Arabidopsis thaliana: one gene and its partner. The protein of the gene in region 1 interacts with the protein of each later gene in a biochemical or structural test. Each region holds a gene or a part of one and is shown on either strand. Other genes may lie near its edges.

Region 1 (7,589 bases):
GTTTTAACTGATCACAACTCACAATATCCAATGGATCAATCATATTTTATGGAGAAATCTCAAAAGAAAACGTGCCTTATTTCATCTCTATTTATACACACACAAAACACTCGTTTATTTATAGCACAAACCTTCATCTAGAGACACAAAAACCACAACATGACTAACCTCATCCTTATCTTCGCCGCACAAATCCTCCTTTTCTATGCCGTTGCTTCCGTCGGAGATGAATTGGGAAGAACCATGAACGGGAAACACCTTGGCCCTTACAAAAAGGAGAAACTCACTCATCTCCGAGTCTATTGGCACAACTCTGTAAACGGTAGAAACCCTAGCTCCGTGATGATCCAACAGCCGGTCTTGAACTCTTCCTTATCCGGATCGATCACCATGATGGACGATCCACTAACATTCGATGTGCCAAGGAATGCGACTGTGGTGGGCCAAGCCCAAGGGATGTACGTAGCAGCGGCCCAAGGAGAGATAGGCTTCTTGATGGTGATGAACTTTGCTTTCACTACGGGGAAGTACAATGGGAGTACGATAACGATTCTTGGGCGGAACGTGGTGATGTCGAAGGTTAGGGAAATGCCGGTGGTCGGAGGTAGTGGAATCTTTCGATTTGCTAGAGGTTATGTCGAGGCTCGCACCAAGTCGTTTGATCTCAAGGCCGGTGTTGCCAATCTACATATACATTTTTGCAGCCATTTTAACAAATAAATCTTAGAGTTGAACTTATTTACAACCCAATGCCATTAGCATTAAATTTTTTTTTCAAAATAATTAATTTTACATTAAATTCTTAATTTAAATTGTCAATCACATTATCAATCAAATTTAATCCAAACAAACTGCACATCAATCCTTTAAAATTAGCATAAAAGTATTTTGTTAACAATATTTTAAAACAAAGTTTTTTGTTTAAATAAATATTGTTCTTACTAAACGTTTTTTGTTTAAATAAACAAATCATGTATTTGAACTTATTTACAATGTCATGCTACTGACATTAATTATTCAGGCATGAAAATATTTAATTAAAGATTTAAATCTTCTAAATTCTTGCTTTTAGAATTATTATATCATTACCTAAAAGGCAAAAAATATTAATTTTTTAATTATTATTATTTATATATTTAAAATTCATAAAACACTATTAATATTTAAATTTATAAAAAGTTTAATATATCAAAAAAATTAACATCATTATATAATATATAGAGTTTAAAAAATCTCAAAAAAAAAATCGTCATATTTTGTGATTCAAAATTTTAAGAATGAACATATATTAACTAATTGGCGAAAAATGTATGGATTCAACGTCCCGCAACGAATAAAATATTTTGACAATGATTCATAAATATATTATAAATAAGATCAACATTAATAAAATAAATAAATTTTTTTTGTGGACGGGTTTGGCGGGACGAGTTTGACAGGATGTTACTTAGTAACAATTGTAAACTATAAAATAATTTACAAATTTTTACATATATTAATTTTAAAAAATGAATTGTCTCCGCGGTGAATCTAGTGTTGAATATAATTGTTATATTCTGCATTACTGAAATAATTAAGTTTGGAATATTGTTCATTTGATTTCATTACTTATTTGTTTTTATGTCTCGTTTTGTTATGAGAGTGTTATTGTCTTTTCCCAAGTTAAATAATGTATTTTATCTTGTAATGGTTTGATTTTATTCATCTAAAAAATAAATAAATAAGTAGTTGTTTATATATACATTAAACATACATTTTTTGGTCAAATTAAGTGGCACAAAGGCTCTACTCCGCGTTAATTTGGAAAATCATCAACTGATTAGCGAATAAATTATTTGAAATTTTGATAGAAAATAAATGTTCAAATAAATATAATGATTAGTTAGCCCAATCACGAGCTAATCAAACCTTAAAAAAAAAACACCAAATCAAACCTATTTATTGTCTAAAACCAATTTTGATATTACACGGAGAAATTAAATAATACATTTAGCTACTTTTTTGTTTGAAATAGAAAAGACATTCAAAATAGTAAACATATAAAACCATTGTAAGAAAAGAAATCAAATTTTTTATTTCTTAACAAAAACGTGAAACGTTTGTTTCCAAATTAGTCGCAAGTCACGGACCGTGTGACGCAAAAAAAGTCCATTCACATCATTATTACATAATTTTTGTCATAAGGAAAATTAATTTGATTTTTCCAAATTTTTTTGGTTCTTCCTCTTCAGAATATCTGACGTGGCATAAATATCGCCTTTTTCACATCGCCTGTCTTCTTTTCTCTCTCCATTTTGGGAACTTTCATCCATAAACTTCTATTTTTCTCATCGCAAACTTGAACCGTCGTAACCCTAAATCGCCATCTTCATCATCGGCAAATCGAATCTCCGATTATATATCAAATAGCTTACCAAATCCGACATGACCCAGGCCCTCGTTTTCGGAGGACTATAATGATCGGACTCTTCGTGTCCCGTCTCGATTGCATGGGGTTTGAGCTATGCCGGAGCTTCGCCGTGGAGTCCGCCGTGGCCGTGTTACTGATGCTGTAGCTCCCAATCAGCTTCCGCAAACACCTACAGAAAAGAAACCGAAGAAGAGTACCGTTAAAGCTCCAAAACCGGTTGCCGGCGGAGTTACAGGAGTTGCAGAGAGGCCGAGGACTAGATTAGCGGCGAGGAAATTAAAGGAGGAAGATAAAGAGATACCTCAGGAGATTCCGGTTGTTGTGCCGTCTAAGGATAGCGATATCGATAAAAACAAGGGTAAAGAGGTAGTCGTTGAAGAAGAGAAGAAAGATATGGCTATTGGTAATGATAGTGGTGGCTCTAACAAGGCGGCTGCTCAGGAAGAAGAAGGAAATACTGCTCCTTTCCCTGAGAGGGTATAATTGATTTGCATAGTTTTTGTGTTGTTTGGGGTTATTGAACTTTTCATTGTAGGCTTGCTTATCATCTTTCTATGGTAATGACTAACGATTCCGTATCAGGTTCAAGTTGGAGGATCACCACTATATAAAGTTGAGAGAAAGCTGGGGAAGGGTGGTTTTGGACAAGTATTTGTCGGACGTCGTATTAGTGGCGGTAATGATCGTAGTGCAGGAGCTAGCATCTTGGAGGTAATATAACTCAGTCTGCGTTTACTGCTGTGGAGGATTGTCACCATAAATATCATTCTATTAGCTTAGTTATGCTTACAGTGTCTCACATCTTCACTTTCTTATATAGGTTGCTCTAAAGTTTGAGCATAGGAGCAGCAAGGGTTGCAACTATGGTCCTCCACATGAGTGGCAGGTTTACAAGTGGGTGTTTCGATTCTCCTGTCTTTCTTTCAATGTTTCTTAAATTCATTTACCTGGATTGTAGGTGCTTCCTTGACTTGAAATGTGAAATTGACATTTTACTTTTATTGTGAACAGCACCTTGGGTGGTAGCCATGGAGTCCCTAGAGTACATTTCAAAGGCAGGCAAGGAGACTATTATGTCATGGTACTGGATTCCCCCTTTCTCCTATTTCTGTTTTTTTCTCCTGTCTGTATCATTGAAGTTAGATCCTCTCTTCTTTGTTTTGGCCTCAGGTTATGGACATGCTTGGGCCTAGCTTATGGGATTTATGGAATACTTCAGGGCAAGCGTGAGTCTCCATTACACATCCTTGGGGAGCTCTTGTCTCTTTTTCAATTAGCGTTGTTTCCATACATGAGTATCCTAAGTTAATTTGGATTCTTTTGGAATTGTGACTTGAAATGTGGTGTTACTCCCTGTTTTTAAAAAAATACATAAGTCCATACTGAGTAACATTTTGCTTTTAAAAAATCGACTTCCCTAACAATTCTTCTCCCCCTTTTTGCTTTGCAGAATGTCCTCGGAAATGGTAGCTTGCATTGCGGTTGAATCACTTTCCATCCTTGAAAAGATGCATGCAAAAGGGTTTGTAATTGAACTTTATTTTTGTTTTTGTATTTAATTAGGTTGTCCGAGGTTTCTTCTGATATCCTGTTTGGAGTCTCGGCACCTCTAAGTTCTTATGTTTTCTCTCTATTAACTAGCCTAACAGGTCATGTTTTACTTCGGTTTCAGTTATGTGCATGGGGATGTTAAGCCAGAAAATTTCTTACTCGGCCAGCCTTCAACGTCTCAAGAGAAAAAACTGTTTCTTGTTGATTTGGGACTAGGTTGATTTCATTCTCTTTGTTATTCTTGCTAGGTTCTTCTTTACCTTTCTCATTTTTCAACCAACTTTTCAGCTACAAAGTGGAGAGAAGGTGGTAGCGGACAACATGTTGAATATGATCAACGTCCTGATATGTTTAGGTAATATATTTTCTACTGTTACCTAATATAATTTGTTTTATACTCGCTCTTACCTTTTGTTGAATCTCTCTCTTCTTAATTTTTATAGAGGGACAGTTAGATACGCAAGTGCACATGCTCATTTAGGGAGAACTGCTAGCAGAAGGGATGATCTGGAATCATTAGCATATACACTGATCTTTCTTCACCGAGGTAGATTGCCATGGCAAGGATATCAGGTACTGCAGACCTATCATTTTGTTTTGTAGAATCATGTTGTTGCATGATTCTTTCTCTGCTAATCCTGTCTCTTACTCAATTTTCAGGGAGATAACAAGTCATTCCTTGTTTGCAAAAAGAAGATGGCAACATCGCCGGATATGCTTTGTTGTTTTTGTCCCCCTCCTTTCAAACAATTTCTTGAGATCGTGGTAAATATGAAATTTGATGAAGAACCCAACTATGGAAAGTTAGTATCTCTGTTTCAAGACCTCTTGGGCGAAAATCCGGCAATTAGGCCTATAAACACAGAGGGTGCTCAAAAGGTGACATTTTCATGCTGTATATCTTTCCCTTTCGTTCCTATTTGGATATCTAGGAGTTGTTGTTTAACATCTTGTAATTGTTTTCTTTTGTGCTAGATCATATTCCAAGTTGGCCAGAAGCGAGGTAGGTTGAGCATTGGGGAGGAAGAAGAAGATGCCCCTAGGAAAAAGGTCCGTCTAGGAGTCCCTGCAACGCAATGGATATCGATTTACAATGCCAGGCAACCAATGAAGCAGAGGTAAAAAAATTCATGGTTAATTATTTATACAGTCAGTTAACTGCTGGGACTGCGTTTGTGTCTCATTTTTTCTCTTGGTTATATTATAATCTTGGATTTTTGGCCTTAATGTGTCTAAAACTATTTTTGGACTCACAATTTATGTGTTTAACCAGGTATCATTATAATGTGGCTGATATAAGACTGGCACAGCATATTGAGAGAGGTATTGCAGATGGTTTGTTGATAAGCTGTGTATCATCATGTTCGAATCTCTGGGCATTGATAATGGATGCTGGAACTGGCTTCACGCACCAAGTCTATGAACTCTCTCCTGTATTCTTGCACAAGGTTGTCTGATGTTTCTCTGTTAGTTATTTTTATATCTGTGTTCTGTCAAGATGATCTTACCTGAGAGTGAATTCTGTTTTGAATCAGGAATGGATTATGGAGCAGTGGGAGAAGAACTACTACATTAGTTCTATTGCTGGTGCAAGCAATGGAAGCTCCTTAGTTGTCATGTCAAAAGGTATCTACACTTTTCATGAATACTTTTGAACACTTTCGTCATTATGGTATTTTACTAGTCTCTGAATTTGTGGCTTATTCTATGTTTGGTTTTCAAATGAATTATGAAGGTACGCAGTATACACAGCAGTCTTACAAAGTAAGCGATTCATTCCCGTTCAAGTGGATAAACAAGAAATGGAGAGAAGGCTTCCATGTAACCTCAATGGCAACAGCTGGAAATCGATGGGGTGTTGTTATGTCCCGCAATTCTGGCTACAGTGAACAGGTTAGACTTCACCGATATAGATGAATTTCTTCCGTTTCCTTCAGTTTTGGATCTGTCGCGTTGATTTCTAATTCTCCTGTTTTCGCTTATATCTCCTCTACAGGTTGTGGAACTTGATTTTCTGTATCCAAGTGAAGGCATCCACAGGCGTTGGGATGGTGGATTCAGAATCACATCAACAGCAGCCACAACCGATCAAGCTGCTCTCATCCTAAGCATCCCACGTCGTAGACTTGTTGATGAGACACAAGAGACGTTACGTACCTCTCAATTCCCCAGCACACACGTCAAGGTGAGTAGAGCAGCTATAAAAGATTACTAATCAATATCTTGAACTCTTTTTCTCCCTTCCCATGAACAATACCGGAGATGCAATTTTCTGTTGTGCAGGAAAAATGGGGAAAGAATCTCTACCTTGCATCGTTAAGCTATGGCCGAACTGTATCTTGAGACTTATTAGTAAAAACTGTTGAAGGACGAGAGAAATATGTTTCTAAGTCTCGGCTCCTATTCCTTATCCAACCCTATGGCCTCTCAGGCTCTGTTGTGCTTCTTCTTTTTTTTCAGTTGAATTGTGAAGCAAAAATGTGGTGATTGTGTTGTTTATTCCCCCCTTGTGAAGGGGATTGAGCCATAATCACCAGTTTACCTACACATTTCCCTCGAAATTGCTATATTTAATTTTTAAATCAAGAAAAGATATTTTTGTCACCAAATATTCTATAGTTGTCCAATTCTGTAACCTAATTATCGAATTCATATCGAAACAGGCTGTTCTCTCCATACACGACCTGAAACCTTCAACTTCAGCTCCTTGTCGGTGGTGTTGTTGTCGGTAGAGAAGAACAAAGCCAATTTGCGAGTGATGATTAAGCCATCTTGACTATCACGAACCGTCTTGTGACTGTCACGAATGCTCCTCGGCACGCCTTGCCATGTCAGCTTTCTGCCATTCCCTCCGACCTGCAAACTATAGCTGAAGCTCATTGCCTCTTCTTCATCTCCCATAAACTGCATGAAGGCCATGTACATTGGTGTTTTCCTCAGGTGAAACGCTTCGAAGTACAAGCAGAATTTTCGACCACAACAATCGAGAAGCTGCATCGTTTCAAGTGGGTTAAAACTTAAAAATTCACAAAGTTGCAGAAACAGAGCAAGATAATCAGTTATATAACTTACTGTTAACATCCAAGTAGCATGATGAAGATGTTTAGGATCATGATGAACATATCTGTGACTGAAACTACGCCCATCACTCATTTCAACATTGTGATCATTCCTTAGATGCAGTAGTAGCCTTTGAATATCTCCTGTGACATCACACTTGGCTCCTGAGTGTGGACAATTGTACGGTTTCTTCTTAGGGTTTTCGATGTGGTCGTTGGGACACTGCAATAGGATCTGTATATTACTTGTTGTGTTCTTATTGTAGTAGTATCAATATGATATGATATACATACCTCGTAGATTGCAGAGGATATCTGGTTTGTATGAACCGGAAAATCGAGCAACTCATGAACCCGAGATTCCACCTGAAGGTCATTGATTCGAGGTTCCATTTCGCAGGAATTAATGAATTCACAAGCCAAGTGATGAAGTGAAAGAGGAGAAAGGTGTACGTTTGTACATATGTACATACAATCAACCACATAGATACGTTTACGTTGTGTCAAGTTTCAACGTCCAATAATTGGAGACAACGTGGAGTAAATGGTGGATATAGGAGTTGGTTCCG
Region 2 (6,410 bases), on another chromosome or scaffold:
ACTTCTAGATCTCTGGCTAGTGAATCGCTTGCTGAATCTAGTCAGATCTCTGCATAGTATCTGGTTGTTCCATAGATCAATGAAATATAGGTCAACTCTTGTTCCGTTGGATTCAACGCTGACCAACGATTGATTGAGTTGGTCGCATATCTAATTTTAGTAAAAGTTATTTCATGGATCGAACTCTGATTTAGAAACCGTTGTTTATATAGTTGGATAGAGTTTAAGTTGTGACTTTAGATCTCCTCAGCTACTGAAAGTAACTATTGATTGTGATTATGCAGGACAAATCGGATATGCTCTTGTACCTATGATTGCAAGGGGTATCATGCTTGGTGCTGACCAACCTGTTATCCTCCACATGTTGGATATTCCTCCAGCTGCTGAAGCTTTGAACGGTGTTAAGATGGAGTTGATCGATGCTGCTTTCCCTCTTCTTAAAGGTAGTTAAGGGTTTTGTTTTGCTGTGGATATTTGCATTCCGTGTCATAAGTTGTTTTGTATAAGTGGGAAAGGAGAAGATGAATATTTGATGTGTATTATTATCAGGTGTTGTTGCTACAACTGATGCCGTTGAGGGATGTACTGGAGTCAATGTTGCTGTTATGGTTGGTGGTTTCCCGAGGAAAGAAGGTATGGAGAGGAAGGATGTGATGTCCAAGAATGTTTCCATCTACAAGTCTCAGGCTGCTGCCTTGGAGAAGCATGCCGCTCCTAACTGCAAGGTGATACGATCTGTTTGCTTTTTAAGTTAAATGAAGCCACTGCATCCAATCTTCTCTGTTCATTGGAGTGTAACAGATGCTTTGTGTTCTCTATTGGGTTCTAGTTTACGACTCTCTTGCTCACACATTCGCTCTCGTTTTGTCTTTTTTTTTTCAGGTTCTTGTTGTGGCCAACCCGGCAAACACCAACGCATTGATCCTCAAGGAATTTGCACCATCAATCCCTGAAAAGAACATCTCTTGTTTGACAAGGCTTGACCACAACAGGGCTTTGGGACAGATCTCTGAGAGGTTGAGCGTGCCAGTGTCTGATGTTAAGAACGTGATCATCTGGGGAAACCACTCATCCTCACAGTACCCAGATGTCAACCATGCTAAAGTGCAGACCTCGTCTGGAGAGAAGCCTGTCCGTGAGCTCGTCAAGGACGATGCATGGTATGTATAACATGCCATAGAACTTAAGACCCTTTCTCTTCTCTGGAAGCAAAATCTAGTTTCACTTAAATATATTGCTCATTCTGTAGGTTGGACGGAGAATTTATCTCTACAGTTCAACAACGTGGAGCTGCAATCATCAAGGCGAGGAAGTTGTCTAGTGCGCTCTCTGCTGCTAGCTCTGCTTGTGACCACATCCGTGACTGGGTCCTTGGAACTCCAGAGGTTCATAATAAAACTCTTCCCCGTTATTTGCAGTGCTGTTTTTTTGTAACAGTTAATCTAATATGAGTTCTTTCTTTGATTCAAATTGTCAGGGTACGTTCGTTTCCATGGGAGTATACTCCGATGGCTCTTACAGCGTTCCATCAGGACTTATCTACTCCTTCCCTGTAACTTGTCGCAATGGAGACTGGAGTATTGTCCAAGGTAAATATGACGCACTTACAAACTCAAATGCTCATCAATTATGAAATCCTAGATTCTGCAGACCCTAATGTGTATTTTGTTTGGTTAGGCCTTCCGATTGATGAAGTATCAAGGAAGAAGATGGATTTGACTGCAGAGGAGCTCAAGGAAGAGAAGGACTTGGCGTACTCATGCCTCTCTTAAACCCTTCTGGAGCAAAATTTTCATCTATAAGGTGTGAGATCAGTTAAAGCCTTTCAGGGCTTTGTCCGAATAAGAAGTGTGTTTGAAAGATCTCCAAACACTGTTTTATAACCTCTTTGGTCTCTTTGATGAGTATTGTCCCTGGTCTGTTTCTAAACCAGGATATCGTTTTTTTCAATGTGTCTGATTTGGTTTACCCATGAAAAGAAGAAAATTGGCAGTTGCATGGTTATCTTTTGCGATTATTTTTTTCTGCTTTAGCAATTAGCCCAAAATTGATGAGCTCTTCGATAATGGGTTTGTGCAATTGTGATTTGTGAGGAATGGTGTTATTGTGTTGCAATTGCAAAAAGAAATGCTACTCTTGCAGATTCATACCAAAACCAAATCACTAGATTAAACTGAAATTCTAATGTGGATTATTTTAATTTTACTTCTATTTTTCTTCACCCAAATATTTTATAACCAAACACCAAGTTGACACCAAAATATACATCCAAAAAACTTAGATTGCTTCTATTTTACGACTATCCGAAATCGAATCATAAACCGTAGGCAATGGTCCATTAATAAGGGGTATACGAGGATTCAAAGTTTGAGAGAACTTTTTTATCTTTACCTTTTTCCTTTTGTAAAGTAAAAGCAGTGGATTTTGATTATAGATTCTACTTGGTAATGACTAATGAGAATCAAGTTCTCACCTTTAAGCCATATAGACTTTAGATATTTAATGGATTCTACAAAAGTGGGCATGACCAGAATCGAGTTCATGAACCACCGTCCTCGGCCCCAACGTTAAAAAACTTTTTTCTCTAGCATAAGAAGATAAGAGTATCTTCACTGCGCTTTAGGCCCACTCAACATTCAAACAAAATTCGATCTCTTATAAAAAAATATCTCACAAGAGAAAGTTCGTACATGATCCCGATAAAATCGTAGATGAGCAAATCAAAGATGAGATGTCGGTAAAAAAAACGCTATTATAAGAACACACGCCACTAGTTGTGGATAAAGTTGTCTACTTTTGTCTCGTTGTGATTATTATATTGCACAATTATTAACATTCATACTCTCATATGGGTATTGTTTTTGGTCTCCGTTAGATCTCAAATCTTTAACTTTGCATACCCAAAATAGGAAGAAAGAAGAGTCAAGTCACTAAAATAACTTTCACAGTCTTTGATTCGAAGATCTTTGTCGCCGAGAGATATCCACTCTGATTTGAGTTCTGGTAAAAAGTTTCCAGCTTTTGATTTTTGTTTCTCTCAATTGAATTTCTCTTGCTTGCTCTGTTTAAAAGGATTAGGATTAAATCGAATCTCTCTCTGTTATGTTTTTTTGTAGATTATTTTGGATTTTAGGACTCAAAGATTACAGATTTCTTATCAATCATTCTCTGTTATTGTTATAGAACTATTCTCTGGAGGAGGTTGAGGTCTGAAATCATGGAACAACTTGGTTAGAGTGTGGAATTTTAGCTGATTTGATCTTTGATTCATCTGTGATCATAATAACTATGAAGATGGACAAAAAGACTATAGTTTGGTTTAGAAGAGACCTAAGGATTGAGGATAATCCTGCATTAGCAGCAGCTGCTCACGAAGGATCTGTTTTTCCTGTCTTCATTTGGTGTCCTGAAGAAGAAGGACAGTTTTATCCTGGAAGAGCTTCAAGATGGTGGATGAAACAATCACTTGCTCACTTATCTCAATCCTTGAAGGCTCTTGGATCTGACCTCACTTTAATCAAAACCCACAACACGATTTCAGCGATCTTGGATTGTATCCGCGTTACCGGTGCTACAAAAGTCGTCTTTAACCACCTCTATGGTATATACTCTTTCATCTCTTATTCAAAGGATATATATTCTTATTAAGTTAGTGTAGTCTAAGTGCAACTGAGGTTGATGCGATCACGTTTTTCTTTGTTGTAGATCCTGTTTCGTTAGTTCGGGACCATACCGTAAAGGAGAAGCTGGTGGAACGTGGGATCTCTGTGCAAAGCTACAATGGAGATCTATTGTATGAACCGTGGGAGATATACTGCGAAAAGGGCAAACCTTTTACGAGTTTCAATTCTTACTGGAAGAAATGCTTAGATATGTCGATTGAATCCGTTATGCTTCCTCCTCCTTGGCGGTTGATGCCAATAACTGCAGGTAAAACCTTAAAGAGTATTACTTAAAAGCTAAAACGTTTTTGATTTCTTCAGGACATAAGCGGTAGTAAAAGTTTATGGCTTTTTCTTTGTTAGCGGCTGAAGCGATTTGGGCGTGTTCGATTGAAGAACTAGGGCTGGAGAATGAGGCCGAGAAACCGAGCAATGCGTTGTTAACTAGAGCTTGGTCTCCAGGATGGAGCAATGCTGATAAGTTACTAAATGAGTTCATCGAGAAGCAGTTGATAGATTATGCAAAGAACAGCAAGAAAGTTGTTGGGAATTCTACTTCACTACTTTCTCCGTATCTCCATTTCGGGGAAATAAGCGTCAGACACGTTTTCCAGTGTGCCCGGATGAAACAAATTATATGGGCAAGAGATAAGAACAGTGAAGGAGAAGAAAGTGCAGATCTTTTTCTTAGGGGAATCGGTTTAAGAGAGTATTCTCGGTATATATGTTTCAACTTCCCGTTTACTCACGAGCAATCGTTGTTGAGTCATCTTCGGTTTTTCCCTTGGGATGCTGATGTTGATAAGTTCAAGGCCTGGAGACAAGGCAGGACCGGTTATCCGTTGGTGGATGCCGGAATGAGAGAGCTTTGGGCTACCGGATGGATGCATAACAGAATAAGAGTGATTGTTTCAAGCTTTGCTGTGAAGTTTCTTCTCCTTCCATGGAAATGGGGAATGAAGTATTTCTGGGATACACTTTTGGATGCTGATTTGGAATGTGACATCCTTGGCTGGCAGTATATCTCTGGGAGTATCCCCGATGGCCACGAGCTTGATCGCTTGGACAATCCCGCGGTAAACTACAAAACTTGTCTTATAGTTTAGAATTCAAAGCTTAATACCAGTTTTTGCTATGCATTCGTTTTTTATTTTATTTTTCAGCTTATTTGGTTTGGTTGATTTAGTTCTGAAGTCTATGAAAACTCTGTTTTTATTTCAGTTACAAGGCGCCAAATATGACCCAGAAGGTGAGTACATAAGGCAATGGCTTCCCGAGCTTGCGAGATTGCCAACTGAATGGATCCATCATCCATGGGACGCTCCTTTAACCGTACTCAAAGCTTCTGGTGTGGAACTCGGAACAAACTATGCGAAACCCATTGTAGACATCGACACAGCTCGTGAGCTACTAGCTAAAGCTATTTCAAGAACCCGTGAAGCACAGATCATGATCGGAGCAGCACCTGATGAGATTGTAGCAGATAGCTTCGAGGCCTTAGGGGCTAATACCATTAAAGAACCTGGTCTTTGCCCATCTGTGTCTTCTAATGACCAACAAGTACCTTCGGCTGTTCGTTACAACGGGTCAAAGAGAGTGAAACCTGAGGAAGAAGAAGAGAGAGACATGAAGAAATCTAGGGGATTCGATGAAAGGGAGTTGTTTTCGACTGCTGAATCTTCTTCTTCTTCGAGTGTGTTTTTCGTTTCGCAGTCTTGCTCGTTGGCATCAGAAGGGAAGAATCTGGAAGGTATTCAAGATTCATCTGATCAGATTACTACAAGTTTGGGAAAAAATGGTTGCAAATGATCAAAATAATGTGCTGTTATAAAGCCTAACATGTAGATGTGTGAATGTGTCTTTTAACTCTTTGTTTCCTTTTGGTTATACTCAAAAGGATATGATTGCATAAACATATAATGCTGATATTATTTCAATTGGCTATGAATAAAATATACATATTTGTTTAGTCTTTGAATTTGTTTCATCTGAGTTGTTTAGTTTGAGGAAAAAGATAACGGCCAATTTATATTTCTTTATAAAGAAAAGAAAGGAAATCTCGATACACGACGTTTTTATATGAAACAAATGCAGTTGGAAATAAAAGTAACAAATCATTGGTCTAAAAACCCCAATGAAAAATAGTAACTAAATGACTGAATACTACGGTAAGATTTTTTTAATTTCTATAAAAATATAAGATTTTTTTTGATGATTAAAATATTTTTTTATAATCAATTACAAATAATTATCATATCTTGAAAACAACAAGAATTTTTTTGATATAATAAAAATATTAAATTAAATTACAAAAATAAACGATACTAGAATTATATTTCATTGAAATTTCTTATATATATATATAGCTGATATTTTAATACAATTATTAATTTATGATATTGATGGGACTATATGTTTACATAGGATTTTCAAAAAAAAAATATTTTATTAATTTATCGATTTGTATCGCTTTTTACACTAGTCCCAAATACTGAAAGAATTTATTATTTTATAAAAATGATTAATTTATCGAATATTAATTTATAAAGGTTTTACTGTACTTGCATGGCACAACAACGAGAAAAAGTCCACGCGATAAAGCTTCAATGTCAGGAATCATCAGGCGTCGAAATGTTTGACAATGGCATCGGTTTCGTCCAGAGAGGAGTCGACGGGGCCTGGATGAGGGTCGACGTAATCGGAATTGTCGTGGAAAAGAGAGTAGAAGCAAGATCCGATTCGGATAAC

The links. The genes of interacting proteins can lie anywhere in the genome.
Region 2: of the proteins of AT3G13670 (region 1) and CRY2, one has a biochemical effect on the other in vitro, tested with the Arabidopsis thaliana proteins (one study listed by BioGRID).

What each region holds. Positions count from the first base shown.
Region 1 is NC_003074.8:4,466,931-4,474,519, forward strand, and holds AT3G13670 (Protein kinase family protein), read left to right. Parts: upstream 1-2,222; 5' UTR 2,223-2,503; coding exon 2,504-2,887; intron 2,888-2,992; coding exon 2,993-3,121; intron 3,122-3,230; coding exon 3,231-3,304; intron 3,305-3,421; coding exon 3,422-3,491; intron 3,492-3,580; coding exon 3,581-3,636; intron 3,637-3,860; coding exon 3,861-3,932; intron 3,933-4,082; coding exon 4,083-4,177; intron 4,178-4,249; coding exon 4,250-4,316; intron 4,317-4,404; coding exon 4,405-4,534; intron 4,535-4,621; coding exon 4,622-4,840; intron 4,841-4,936; coding exon 4,937-5,079; intron 5,080-5,234; coding exon 5,235-5,409; intron 5,410-5,496; coding exon 5,497-5,587; intron 5,588-5,631; exon of another isoform or gene 5,632-5,696; coding exon 5,697-5,854; exon of another isoform or gene 5,855-5,957; coding exon 5,958-6,146; exon of another isoform or gene 6,147-6,244; coding exon 6,245-6,304; 3' UTR 6,305-6,610; downstream 6,611-7,589. Other genes in the region: AT3G13662 (Disease resistance-responsive (dirigent-like protein) family protein), read left to right, coding at 160-675, 1,535-1,540; AT3G13672 (TRAF-like superfamily protein), read right to left, coding at 6,611-7,243, 7,315-7,413.
Region 2 is NC_003070.9:1,184,780-1,191,189, reverse strand, and holds CRY2 (cryptochrome 2), read left to right. Parts: upstream 1-2,493; 5' UTR 2,494-3,003; intron 3,004-3,116; exon of another isoform or gene 3,117-3,183; 5' UTR 3,184-3,288; coding exon 3,289-3,601; intron 3,602-3,705; coding exon 3,706-3,930; intron 3,931-4,025; coding exon 4,026-4,738; intron 4,739-4,883; coding exon 4,884-5,471; 3' UTR 5,472-5,678; downstream 5,679-6,410. Other genes in the region: c-NAD-MDH1 (Lactate/malate dehydrogenase family protein), read left to right, coding at 285-443, 550-725, 883-1,160, 1,250-1,385, 1,478-1,589, 1,678-1,772.